3 linked regions of the Schizosaccharomyces pombe genome follow. Changing the gene in region 2 together with the main gene of any one other region gives a genetic interaction. Each region holds a gene or a part of one and is shown on either strand. Other genes may lie near its edges.

Region 1 (3,177 bases), 2.5 Mb from region 2:
TTAATTACTATGGCATATCCAAGTTTTCTCTTTAGCAAGAGTAACATTATGAAGTATGATTCTGAATTTTCTTAAATTTAGAGAAAGTAAAAATTCTACATTAGAAATTTAGGGGACAGTCAGTTCAAAGGTCTCCTTTCTAATCATACTTGTAATTGAGATTGTAACATTCAGTGCAAAAGAAAAAAATGTTATTCGCGTTTTGAGCAAACCGGCAAGGTATGAATAGTATTCTTCAAGCCTTTAAATGTCAAAAACCCATCAATTTTAATTCCACCTGGTTGTTCGAAAACTAATTTCTTAGAGTTATCTTTAACACGTGCTTGAACTGTATTCCCTAGTTTAATTGAATTTGGAGGTGTTCTTTCTAAACCCGGAATTAACTACAATGACTGTCTCAAAATATATTTTCCCATATTAATAGCTTCCAATGTATTTACAGCTTTACCCTTTCGTCGAAGTCTTTGACAATAGAAATGCGAAGGAATAAATCGCTTGAGTAAGTAACTTATCATAGTTCAATTCACCTTATTGTTACATTGCAGTAAAATTGTTTTTGTTTTCTAAGTACACCTTACTTATCATCTAAAAATGGTGAGCAAGCATACGATGCATGCATTCAACTCTAGAAACTTAAACTACATATAAAACTAAAAGGTAACGTAATGGGTGAGAAGGCTGGAAAGCGTTCGAGTCTACCCTCACTTAGACTTAATTTTGTCGGACCACTCAAGCCATGAGCCAGTGTAGTTTCCAATACTAAAAGGTTAGTTTTTGAACACTGTTCTCGAAATTAAGTGGAATTGTTCACCTATACAAACATACTTTTTATAGCCGAGTTTGGTGAGAATGTCAGAAGCGGTCGTACTTCTTCTACCAGAGCGACAGTAAACTACAACGTTGTCCTCAAAAACGGGTTTGCTGAATCCATAAGTCTTGGAAAACTCCTCGTCACTAAGTTTCATGGCTTCCTCGATTTTTCCAACAGGTAAATTATAAGAAGTTTCGATTGCACCTTGCTTAAATTCATCGGGCTCACGAACGTCTGACATGTTAGCAGAATAAGTTTTAACTCACTATTGTATTGTCCTTACCAATTAAAACGGTGGATTTGTCGCCAGTTGGTCTTTTACTAAGGTTATAAACCTATTTCAAGTTAGTACCGTTAATAATTCCAAAATACTTGGAGAGTAGAGTAGCGAAGTGTAAAACTTAGCTTTAACCAGAAAACATCGCATATGAAAGCAAACGTATTCCTATGTTGGTTTACCTTTTCGAAATCAAAGATGCTGACATTCTTAACTACTGTAGAACTGTAGAAAGAGCGGGTCATCAGGAGGCGAGATACGGAAAGAGTTTTAGAAAACATTATGGGTGAAAACAAGGTTTATTACAGCTAGATGGCCCCTTTCAGCAGGCAGGTTAAATCTCAGATTCCCACAGTTGACGGTAGTGGTATAAGCGTGATCGGTGAGTAGTATGATTATATGAACGATCGCTATTACGAAATCGGCAGGTTTGAAGTGTTATAGGGGCTTGTGTTCAGAGGAATCAATAAATGAAATGGATCTTTGTATTTTCGAGATTTTTCAATAATATTTTTCTTTTTTAAAACGGTAGTTTTTAAAGTTACTATTCAAGAAAAGAGCGATTCATCCATCGGGAAAAATGAAGTTGCCGCATTTTCTATGTTTCACTTTTAAACAATTACATATTCAGTATATAAGTTCATAGAATAGAACTGTACGTACGTCTTTGGCACAGTTCTTTAAAATTGCGGATCTTTAATTGTGTATATTACTATATGGAGGTAGCATATGGATTTACCAAAAAGCATTTTATGGATAATTTGTTATTCATAAAATTATGTTTGTTGGAAATACACTGACAGAAACAAGCACTCTAATTTTCAATTGAGCTACAGTTGTTTGTTTTATCATTAGGAGAAAACAGGAATTCATACGACGCTGATTTATATAGATGTATACGTAAGTTTATTTATTTATTTTTTCTCGTCGGGCCTGAAATGCACTGTACTGTAATGTCATGGCATGCTTCAATGCTAATGTAATAGGAAAAAAATCACAGTACACAAATTTTTATGAGTGCTGATATTCTCGCAATGGAGAAACGCTAGGTTTAACGTAAGCATGATGTTTAAATTTGCCAGTACAATTAGAAAACAGGTTGTAAGTCCACCTTTGATATTAGGTCACAGTTCAAATCACTTTTGATTGTATTGCACATGATATTACGTTTACTAAGATTTCGCATCAATTTTAATATTGCAAGTTCTAAGGTAGCAGCATATTATTGAAAATTGAAATTTCAAATGGAAAAGTGATTCACATGCGTCCATTAAAATATAAAAAATAAAAAAAGAAATTTATATCTAGAATAAATTATTGTTTCTTTTAGCGGCAGAAAAACTAGTAGTAAAAATTTTATGCCAATAAATAAATATATAAAATAATGAACCTAAATAATCATATTGGCAATGTTTTCCAATTCAATCATCCGAAATGAATGATTGCAATGGATGAAGGAAAATAAAAACTTGTAAAAATGAAGGTCAGTAAGATTCAGTGTTTAAGATACCTCTCTGGTTTACAATCTTTTATGGACAAATATATGAACGGTTAATTCGATACAGTTCATCTGTTTCACTCGAATACTCAATATAATTTATTTACAATTCACCCATTAAATTAATATTTACCTTATTCATTCGCTTTCATTAATTTCATTCATTCACTTAGTCCCTTATTGTACCAACCTTGTCGCTCGGTACCGAATACAACAGTCGGCGGTTGATCATAGCTAACTAGTGCTAATAGCTAATTTCCTTAAGCAGACTTTTAATCCAACTGTGAATACCAATTACGTACTGTTTTGATTTAGTTAATATTTTCTTCCTCTTTTTTTTTTGCGCTTTTTTTCCATCGAAATCAAATATTATGAAGAATGACTTACTTCATAATTGCGATACCCGAAAACATCACTGATAAAGAGGGGATATCATATTAAAGAGTGAATACCGGTTAGGTCTTAGTTGATTCTTTGGATGTTGGATTGAGGTTTAGCTTGAAATGATGGTTGTCTTTCGTTTCAATTCACCTTTACAACATTTAATTTTTTTTTTAATGATCCATGATCACAATGCCATAATTTACGAAA
Region 2 (3,470 bases):
GGGCAAATTGGTCTTCAGACTTTAATTATCCTGTATCCGAAACTTCCGGTTTGCTTACAGATAATAATCGGAATCAACCGCCCTCATTTTAATTTTTTTCATATCTTTATATTTTATACTATTTGTTTCTTAATGAAATGCATCTTTTAGTTTTTTTAAACAAAAATCAACTAGCTTTGATTCGGTTTTTAATTAATTTAAGGATTGATCTGAAGTTTTGAATATTTTGATTTGGGGTTCAATTGTTGATAGGAAAACGATCCTCTTTTACCGAATATTTAATTACGCTAAGATATGCAATGCTGAGAGGTTCACAACACATTAGTTAAGAGGGTTGCTTCTGATATTTTATTATCAAAAAAGGTTCAGCGTGATATGGTTAACAATAGCAACGGAGGCTTTATATTTAAGATGAAAAAAATGGCATTCAAGCACATGTTCCCTTAATTCTCAAGAAAGAATCTACTCGTTCAAACTTTTCCTTAATAATGATAATGATAACATGACTACGTATGTTTAATAATAGAAGAGAATATTTTTTAATGAGATGAAGGAATAATATAGCAAAACTTCTGAAAATAAATTGATACAGCTAATTGAAGATATTGTTGTTTATTGTTTACTGCCCTGAATCTAAAAATTTTGAAAGTCTAATAGGTTATTTATTCAAATGTCAAATAAGGAGTTATTAGCGAAACAAAGTTTGTAACAAATGGTTATTAAGCATTCACTCTGCATGCACTATATTCACTTGATTTAAGTCGTCAAAACTAGCTTTGTGAACAAGGGGGACGGCCCTTAAAAGAACACAAAAATGATTTCGATAAGAAATGCGCTAGCAGAAAAATAATTACTAAAGTAGAAAGACAGTCAATGGTTAGAAACTGGAATGTACGAAAAAGTTAATTTCTGTATTCCCTATAAAGGGAAGGTTCGTTTAGCAAAAGAAGTTGAAGATCACAAAAACATTTTCAAAATCGTAAAAAAAAAGTTCGTAAATATCACGGTTATTAAATATAAATAAAAGAACTATATAGCCTAGTTCAAAGAGGACGTGAAATAAAAGAATTAAGTGAAAGTGTAACAGAGTTACAGCAAGTACAATTGCTAAGTGATATTTATTTGCACCCTAAATGGAAGCCACAAGTAATAACAACGCACAAAGGAGCAAAATAATAAAGCATCTGGGATACTGTTTAGCCTTTCGGCTGACCTTGTTTAATCGATTTTTTGCATGATCAAACCTCCTCTCAATTCGATCAGCATCATTATTCATATTATCTAGTAAAACATTTTGTTCGGACAATTCTGTATTCATTGCATATCCCATCCGCTTTTGCCTTTGGACACTTGCTTCGATCCCTCCTAAAGATTCTTCTTGTTCGTTGAGCATTTGCTGATGCATTTGAGCCAAAACGTTTACGTTTATGGGATCAGGGTCATTGCCATCAACCGGATACATGGCCTCCATCTCAATATCAGATCCCTCACTACTCGAAGTCGTTTTTTGTAAAGAAGGAAGGGGAGTTAACTTATTATTCGTACTTGCAACTTGCGGGTTTGCAGAAAAGGCACTTGTTCCGTCAGCAGGAATTGAGGATGCACGCCGCTGCTTCTCAAACTCTTCCTCAGCAGACTCTAACCTCCTTTGCATTCTAATAAGAAATGCTTCGGATTCTCGTACTCTGTACTCTGGGATTTGTGCATTTTTCTCTAATCGCGATTGCTCCTCATTAAGTTTTTGCAATTCTTGCCGAACATCTTTCAATGAAGACTCAATTTCTTCATCGGGATTCTGTCCAAACTCTTCCAACTTCCTCCTGTCTCTTATTTTTTGTGAAACCGAGTCAATGATCAGAAGCAAATTTGACATAGTCGCTGGTTACTTTCTTGAGTAATCATGTTCATCATGCGCCTAAAAACACAAACATTAGTGAAGTTTACAGTAATACGGTGTAATGCCTTTGCTACCAATTCTAGGTTCAATTACAGTAAATTTTGTTTGCAGCAAAAAAAGAGAATCTTTTCGTATGTTTTAAATAAAAAAAAAAGTAAAAATGATTTGCTCATTAGCTGCCAGATCCATTATAGGCATCCTGTGAAATTATCGTATTATTAGAAACCTACTCGTTATTTACACAATTTTTTGAATGCTTCTTTTCGACTCTTCTGATTGTTTTCGGTATTTATCACAAATTTAGTAGTTCTTATTTCACATCTATTAAAAGGTAATCAAGCAAGGTGTAAGGAAAACTTTTTAATTATTGAAAGTTGGTTTGCGTAGTTTCAAAATTAATCAGATAAATTTATACAGCAAGCCCAGTATAAAAAGGGGCCTAACCAGGATTCGAACCAGGGATCACCTCTAAACTCAGCATACAAGTGGGGATTACCCGAAAGAGGTATGTTAACCACTACACTATTAGGCCTAGGTTTCTCATTACAAAATATTAATATAATATATATATAAAATAATTGCGACATAATAAATGTTAAGTACCTCTTTGCTCTGAAAACTAAAATACCAATAATGACGCTTTTCTTTTCATTAGAAGAGAATGTTTATTAAAGAAATATCTTAAAGAAAAATACTACTTAAATATTTATTTAGGAGTTAGTACACTAATTCCAGAGTATTAAATCCAAGTGTAACAAGGTAGGAGTAACAAATAGTTGTTTAATTACAGACAATTAAGTACAGTAGAAAATTACTCAAATATATACAAGGCTTTGGGCCGTTTAAAACGAATCATGCTGATATCTATATTCGGCTAATCGACTTCTTGCTTTATTCTCAGTTTAAAATGGAGTTTTTTTTTATAGCGTTACGAATTAGAAATAGATGTAGCCGTCTATCAAAGTTGACATTGCACGTGAAATTATCATTATAAACATAATCAAATGAATGGCAAAGCGATCAAAATAAGAAGGAATTTTACTACGTTATAAAACATTCGGCTTTTTATTTTACTTTATTCTTTTTTATTCAGGTGCATCTGATAATAATCGCGTGAAACTTGAGTGCAAAAAATTTTACAGCCCTGTAGATCCCGAGTGAGAGTAGATCACATATAGCTAAAGGAGCTCGTATGAAACTAAGATACAAATACATTTGTTTACGAACGTTTGACAAATATATAAATTGACCCACAGACCTTAAAATTGTCAACAACAGTTGTCTCAAAAAAAAGCCGGGTCGAAAGTACATTATTTACTAAATGATAGTGTTTTTAACTTCAAAAACAGTACAAAGAATGCTATAGAAAACAAAATGCATTTTCGATGAATTGAATTATTCATTTTCTGTAAACAACAAAAAGTTGGTTGAGAATTATGGAATTCGTTATTTTTATTTACCGTATTTCAATAGTTCGTAAATATGCATGACCGCATCGGTAAGCATAGGCAGGCTTAGTAACTTGCATTTCTCTTTGTCTTTAAGCAAACATCGACTAAAATACATATTGCTT
Region 3 (4,938 bases), on a different chromosome or scaffold from region 2:
CGGCATGGAATTTCGTAAGCAAGTTTTAGTGCTTTTAAATAGTAATAGTATGCTTTGAGTAATGAATTTTTTTGTTCAAGAGTTTGGGCCTCAAAACTGTTAGTAATTGAAGCACATTACTATAAACGGCACGGAAAAATTAGACATACCTCTTCAAGCCAGCGTTGTCCTCTGAAGGAACAGCTTTGAATCGTTTCATCTTCATTAATATAAACGAATGCTAATTCAAATAGTCTGTCGAAATAATCATCGGACATCCGAGGAAGAACCGAGTATTTGTGTTGGCGACTTAACCTGAATTGAACCAAATACTACAAGACTATAGCCTTTTTTGGTTATTATGGTTTCAATTGAAGCTATGAAGGATTCAAATTGGGACTTGCAGATACAAGTATTCCGGCGAAGGCTTAATCCGGAAGTTATGTAAGTACTAAGCAGGTTAGCTGTGGGTTAGTTAATGTAAACATCTTTATTAACTAGTACCAGAGAGGCAAGAAATGAGATTTTCTTATCCTTGCCCAGTGATCATGGATTGATTACTTTAGTTATAAATAAAGATAAACCGTTTCAAATATCGGTATTACTTGAAAAAAATCAAGAGTTCATGCAAACGGCAATGAATAAGTACGTTGAAACGGCATTTCAAAATCAGAAAACAACTTTGACAAGTTTATTTAATTATTTGTTACAAAATTGGAAATCATTTGAGACATGCAATACAAAAGAGCGTGAGTTGATGGTTCAACAAGTCGATTCTAAGAAACCAGAAACCCCAACTGACTTAGAGCCGTTGGCAAATAAGCTTGAAGGACCTCTATCAGAGAGGGTTCATTTGAACACTACACTTGACTATGAAGTACTGCGTGGTCAAAATCACTGTCAAAAGCAGAATACTACCCAAACAAAAACTACCATCTCTGGCTCTGAACAGTTATTCAATGATGAAAAGCCAAAAAAAATTATTTATTCAAAAGGAGGAAACGATGGGAAAGAAGATGATCTACAAAATGTTAATGAACCACAGGATGCTTACAGTAACGATCATGACATTCAGAGCAAAGACACAGAGCTTCTGGGTAACGAATACTGCTTAGAATGGAAGAATCCGCATTTAACTAATGTCGGTACTCTCAAAGCACCAATTTTACGTTTGGTCATAAAGTGTGTTCGGTGCCATTATGGAAGTGAAATTTCTATTGCTACAAAATTTTCTCTTGTTTGCAATAAGTGTAGTAATACTCTAAGATTAGTTTGGGTGCCTGGTGTGATTCACCCAAATAATGCCCGTTTAGGTATCCTCCATACTTTAGGATGTGTACCGGTTGACGTGATGCCCATTGACTGTCAGGTCTCTTGTATGGAATGTGTTGATGAGCAGATAACATCCTTTAAAGGTATTTCTTCCATGCAGCCCATGCTACAGTTTTGTAAAGTATGCAAAAACAGAATCTTGGTTGAACATCAAGATACCGAATTTCATTTGTTAAAACAACGACAAAGTTCAATGGGCGGGAAGGTGAGCGCAAAAAAGAAGCAAAAACAAAACTTAAACATTACGAAAGGATTGCCACTTCCCAATAATGGTGCTTGCGAACATTACAAAAAATCATTCAGATGTAAGTCGTTTATAAAATTCATAATTAACAATCAGGGTTTCGTTTTTCATGTTGTGATCGTGTTTATCCATGTGATGAATGTCATGACGCTGATCAAAATCATACATTTGAGCATGCTAATCGAATAATATGTGGGTACTGTGCCATGGAATCTTTCTACAAAAAGGATGCAACTTGCCCCCATTGTGGAAATATGACTGTGAAAAAACAAACCAGTGCCTACTGGGAGGGAGGAAAAGGAATGCGCGATCGCGTTCGCATGAGTAGGAAGGATCCAAGGAAGTACAAAAGGAAGCATCACGGTAATTAATTGGGTTGCATGACATCCATATTTTTTTGCTTCATTAGATACCCATATTGTATAAAAATTTAATGAATAACAAGTAGTTAATCTTTTGATAGAAGATACTTTTAAAGTCTTCGTATTTAACCAAAATAATTATCCTTCATCATCACTCACTTCATAATTGACGAGAGAAACCGAATTATCTTCAAGGATTTTCTCTCCCTTTAAATTTTCTGTAGGAAATTTCCTTTGCTCGCTCCTTAGCTTCTCGGAAGGGACAAATTTTCGAGCAAAAGGATCTTTTTTTGCGAATGAAGTCTCAGCAAACTTTGCAAAAGTCGAAAATGTTCTAGAAGAGGGCATTAATGTTCTTCTATAATCTAATTTCCTTATAAATTTATTCTTTCCTAATTCGTTATCTAGCAACAATAATGCCTTATCCTTGTCAGAAGAAGAGGGTGGTAATATATCAATGTCCAACGCTGCACGGTTTTTGAGAGATAGATCTTTAGCTTCTTGCTTTTTTTCAATTTTTTTCCTTTCCTAAGTTATGGGTTAGTTAATATGAAAATTTTAACGCAAAACAAATTCTTCTTACCCGAAACTGTTTTCGCAGCCTCTGAGAAGAAACGAAAGGATCCGACCAAAGCCTTTCATTTTTCTCATATATAAAGTTTATTACAGAACTATTATGCTTTTCTGACTTTTGCTGAGTTAATTGGGTTTCCAGCGCTTCAATTGCATCAGACGGCACCTTTTCGTCGTTTTCAGCTTTTGCAGGACGTTCATTGATGTCTTGAGGTTCAATTTTCCTTCTGCCTCCAGAAGCAACGATGTATTCTGTATTCTATTTATGTCAGTAACAAATTTGTTAAATTAATCAAACCAGTACCTTAGGATCCGTATGTACATCGATAGGGTTTGAGCATAAATGACATTTTAAGCTGAATGACCATATTTTCGTAGTATAGTATGAGCCAATCTCTTTTTTAACAGCATTGAATCTAGTGCCTTGTTGAATGATATTTTCACAATTGTTGCACCACACTGGAAATGGCATTTCAAACCGAATTACATTTCGTAATTTATCAAATTTTCTTTTAGCATTCGGCCCTTCCGGGGGAATATATTTCCCCATATTAAATCCTTGCATTTTTAGTGAGTATATAGCTCTTTATGCCCAAAATCAGTAGTTCCTAAGTTAATACTACGTCTAGGTGAAGTTCAGGCTAAATCAGTGGCATGCAACAGAAACATAATTATAACTCTTAGTTAATTCATGGCTTTTCAACAAACAATTTTAAATTACGTTTGCTAAATTGACGTTAAAATAATAAGGGTTCCATTCTACAGTTTCAAACGGACAAGGTAAACATGTACAAATAAATAAATTACATGACGATTATTTGAATTCATTTCTTATAAATTAATAGAAAATTATAAATGACATAAAAAGGTATCGATGAATTATTAAACACTTGATGATATTTTTAGGTTGCTTCAACGGGGACGTTCAATTTCTTGGCCAAGTCTAAGAAGCTTTTCGTGTAGCTATAAAATTTCGGCCTTTTGCATAATGATAAGACAATCAAAAATGTCTGCTGAGTAGGGAAAGGACCGTTATGCGACATCCTTTTAATGGTATTTAAGCATTCAGCTGCTTGGCCCTGCTGAACAAGGTTACGTAGCTTCTCATGATATACTTGAAGATTTAAATCAAATTTGTGACTTTCCTCAAAATACTTCCAATACCTTGCTAACAAATCACCGTTTTGTATTTGACGAATGACCTGTAATGCTGTAACCAAACTTCTTGAAGTACAATCGCAATATGGGGGTAAAGGATAACGCAAGTTGGAATCTTCGAAAATCTGATATTCCAATCCCATCACTTTTGTAAGAATATTTAACCCCACGTTTCTCACTTGAGGCGAGTTGCTAGTAGCCAGAAGTTTCACAAAGGAACAAATAAGACTTTCATCAACTGCTATTCCTTTCTTTTGGCATTCAAGGACAAAATAATTCCAAAGATTCGTCCCCATCTTTAACACTTCTTCACGTTGTTCCGGATTGAACATAGAAAAGTCGTTCAAAAGTCGAAGAATTTGAGATCCACTATAGAAATCCAATGTTTGTTTGATGGATGGAATAATCATTGACACCAATACCATACTTTTAAGCTTTAGACTACACTTGGATATAATTCGTATGTGATGCAAATTGGATGTGACATTATTAGACTCCTTGAGAGCACTAGCTGTTACCTTTTCACTATATTCACGTAGTTTAGAAAAATTTCCTTGCTTATTCTTTTCAATAGCATCGCAAAATCCCTTTAGAAGAATGGAGTATGTATGATCGCTAGGTTTTTGTTGGCGCTTTTTCATATCATTGTACAAAGACCAAGCAGCGTTGTAATGCCCTTTAGCTAAATGATATTGTAGTACAAGGTTATAGGCAACCGTCTTCTTGGCATTTGATCTCTCGTACAGTAAATGCAATGCTTTCTCTAAAGACTCTTTTTGAAGTAACGAAGATACATTTTTAGCCAGTTTGAAACCATCGTTTCTTATTAAGGATGACTTAGTTTTTTTATTTCGAAACTCATTTAGATTGTTGACTTGCTCCTTGAATTTCAAAGCATCAGCGATTAAAAGGCGCTTTCGTACTAATTTCCGCGCATTACTTACTGAAACACTATACGTGGTTGCAAATTCCCGCAAGCAGAAGCGGTTTAGGAGCAAATCGACAAAGGCCCTTCGCGGAAATGTCCTTTTAATGAATTGCATTAAACAAACCACTAGTTTATTCAAGTTTAGGATTAAAACCGCGTTAGTAGGAAGTAAGTTATAAAATATGAGTTGTTACGAATGAAGACACTACATCATTAGTTCAACCATCGTCTTATGTACAACGTTGAGTAAAAGTGCTGTTTGACGAGGTAAAATTACTATATGCACACAAAAGATTGCAAAAATGAGTTAACAAAGCTAATTACAATGAAAGTAACTACTAGCGATGAATTTACTAATAACA

What was found.
Region 1: mutations in fsv1 (region 2) and rdl2 together harm fitness more than expected from each alone (negative genetic interaction), as found in Schizosaccharomyces pombe (one large-scale study listed by BioGRID).
Region 3: mutations in fsv1 (region 2) and saf4 together harm fitness more than expected from each alone (negative genetic interaction), as found in Schizosaccharomyces pombe (one large-scale study listed by BioGRID).

The regions. Positions count from the first base shown.
Region 1 is NC_003424.3:3,838,012-3,841,188, forward strand, and holds rdl2 (thiosulfate sulfurtransferase Rdl2), read right to left. Parts: upstream 1,460-3,177; 5' UTR 1,370-1,459; coding exon 1,271-1,369; exon of another isoform or gene 1,147-1,270; coding exon 1,095-1,146; exon of another isoform or gene 1,046-1,094; coding exon 826-1,045; exon of another isoform or gene 760-825; coding exon 702-759; 3' UTR 649-701; downstream 1-648.
Region 2 is NC_003424.3:1,312,592-1,316,061, forward strand, and holds fsv1 (SNARE Stx8), read right to left. Parts: upstream 1,890-3,470; 5' UTR 1,874-1,889; coding exon 1,130-1,873; 3' UTR 645-1,129; downstream 1-644. Other genes in the region: DNA-binding transcription factor, glucose starvation sensing, Rst2, read left to right, coding at 1-92. UniProt on the Schizosaccharomyces pombe protein: Involved in vesicle-mediated protein transport between the Golgi and the vacuole.
Region 3 is NC_003423.3:1,785,992-1,790,929, forward strand, and holds saf4 (splicing-associated factor Saf4), read right to left. Parts: upstream 3,056-4,938; coding exon 2,795-3,055; exon of another isoform or gene 2,750-2,794; coding exon 2,501-2,749; exon of another isoform or gene 2,446-2,500; coding exon 2,056-2,445; 3' UTR 1,927-2,055; coding exon of another isoform or gene 1,652-1,926; 3' UTR 1,617-1,651; downstream 1-1,616. Other genes in the region: ubiquitin hydrolase Ubp4, read right to left, coding at 1-89, 150-257; SPOM_SPBC18H10.09 (zf-CHY type zinc finger protein), read left to right, coding at 341-423, 487-1,616, 1,652-1,926; PPR repeat-containing protein Ppr2, read right to left, coding at 3,393-4,691.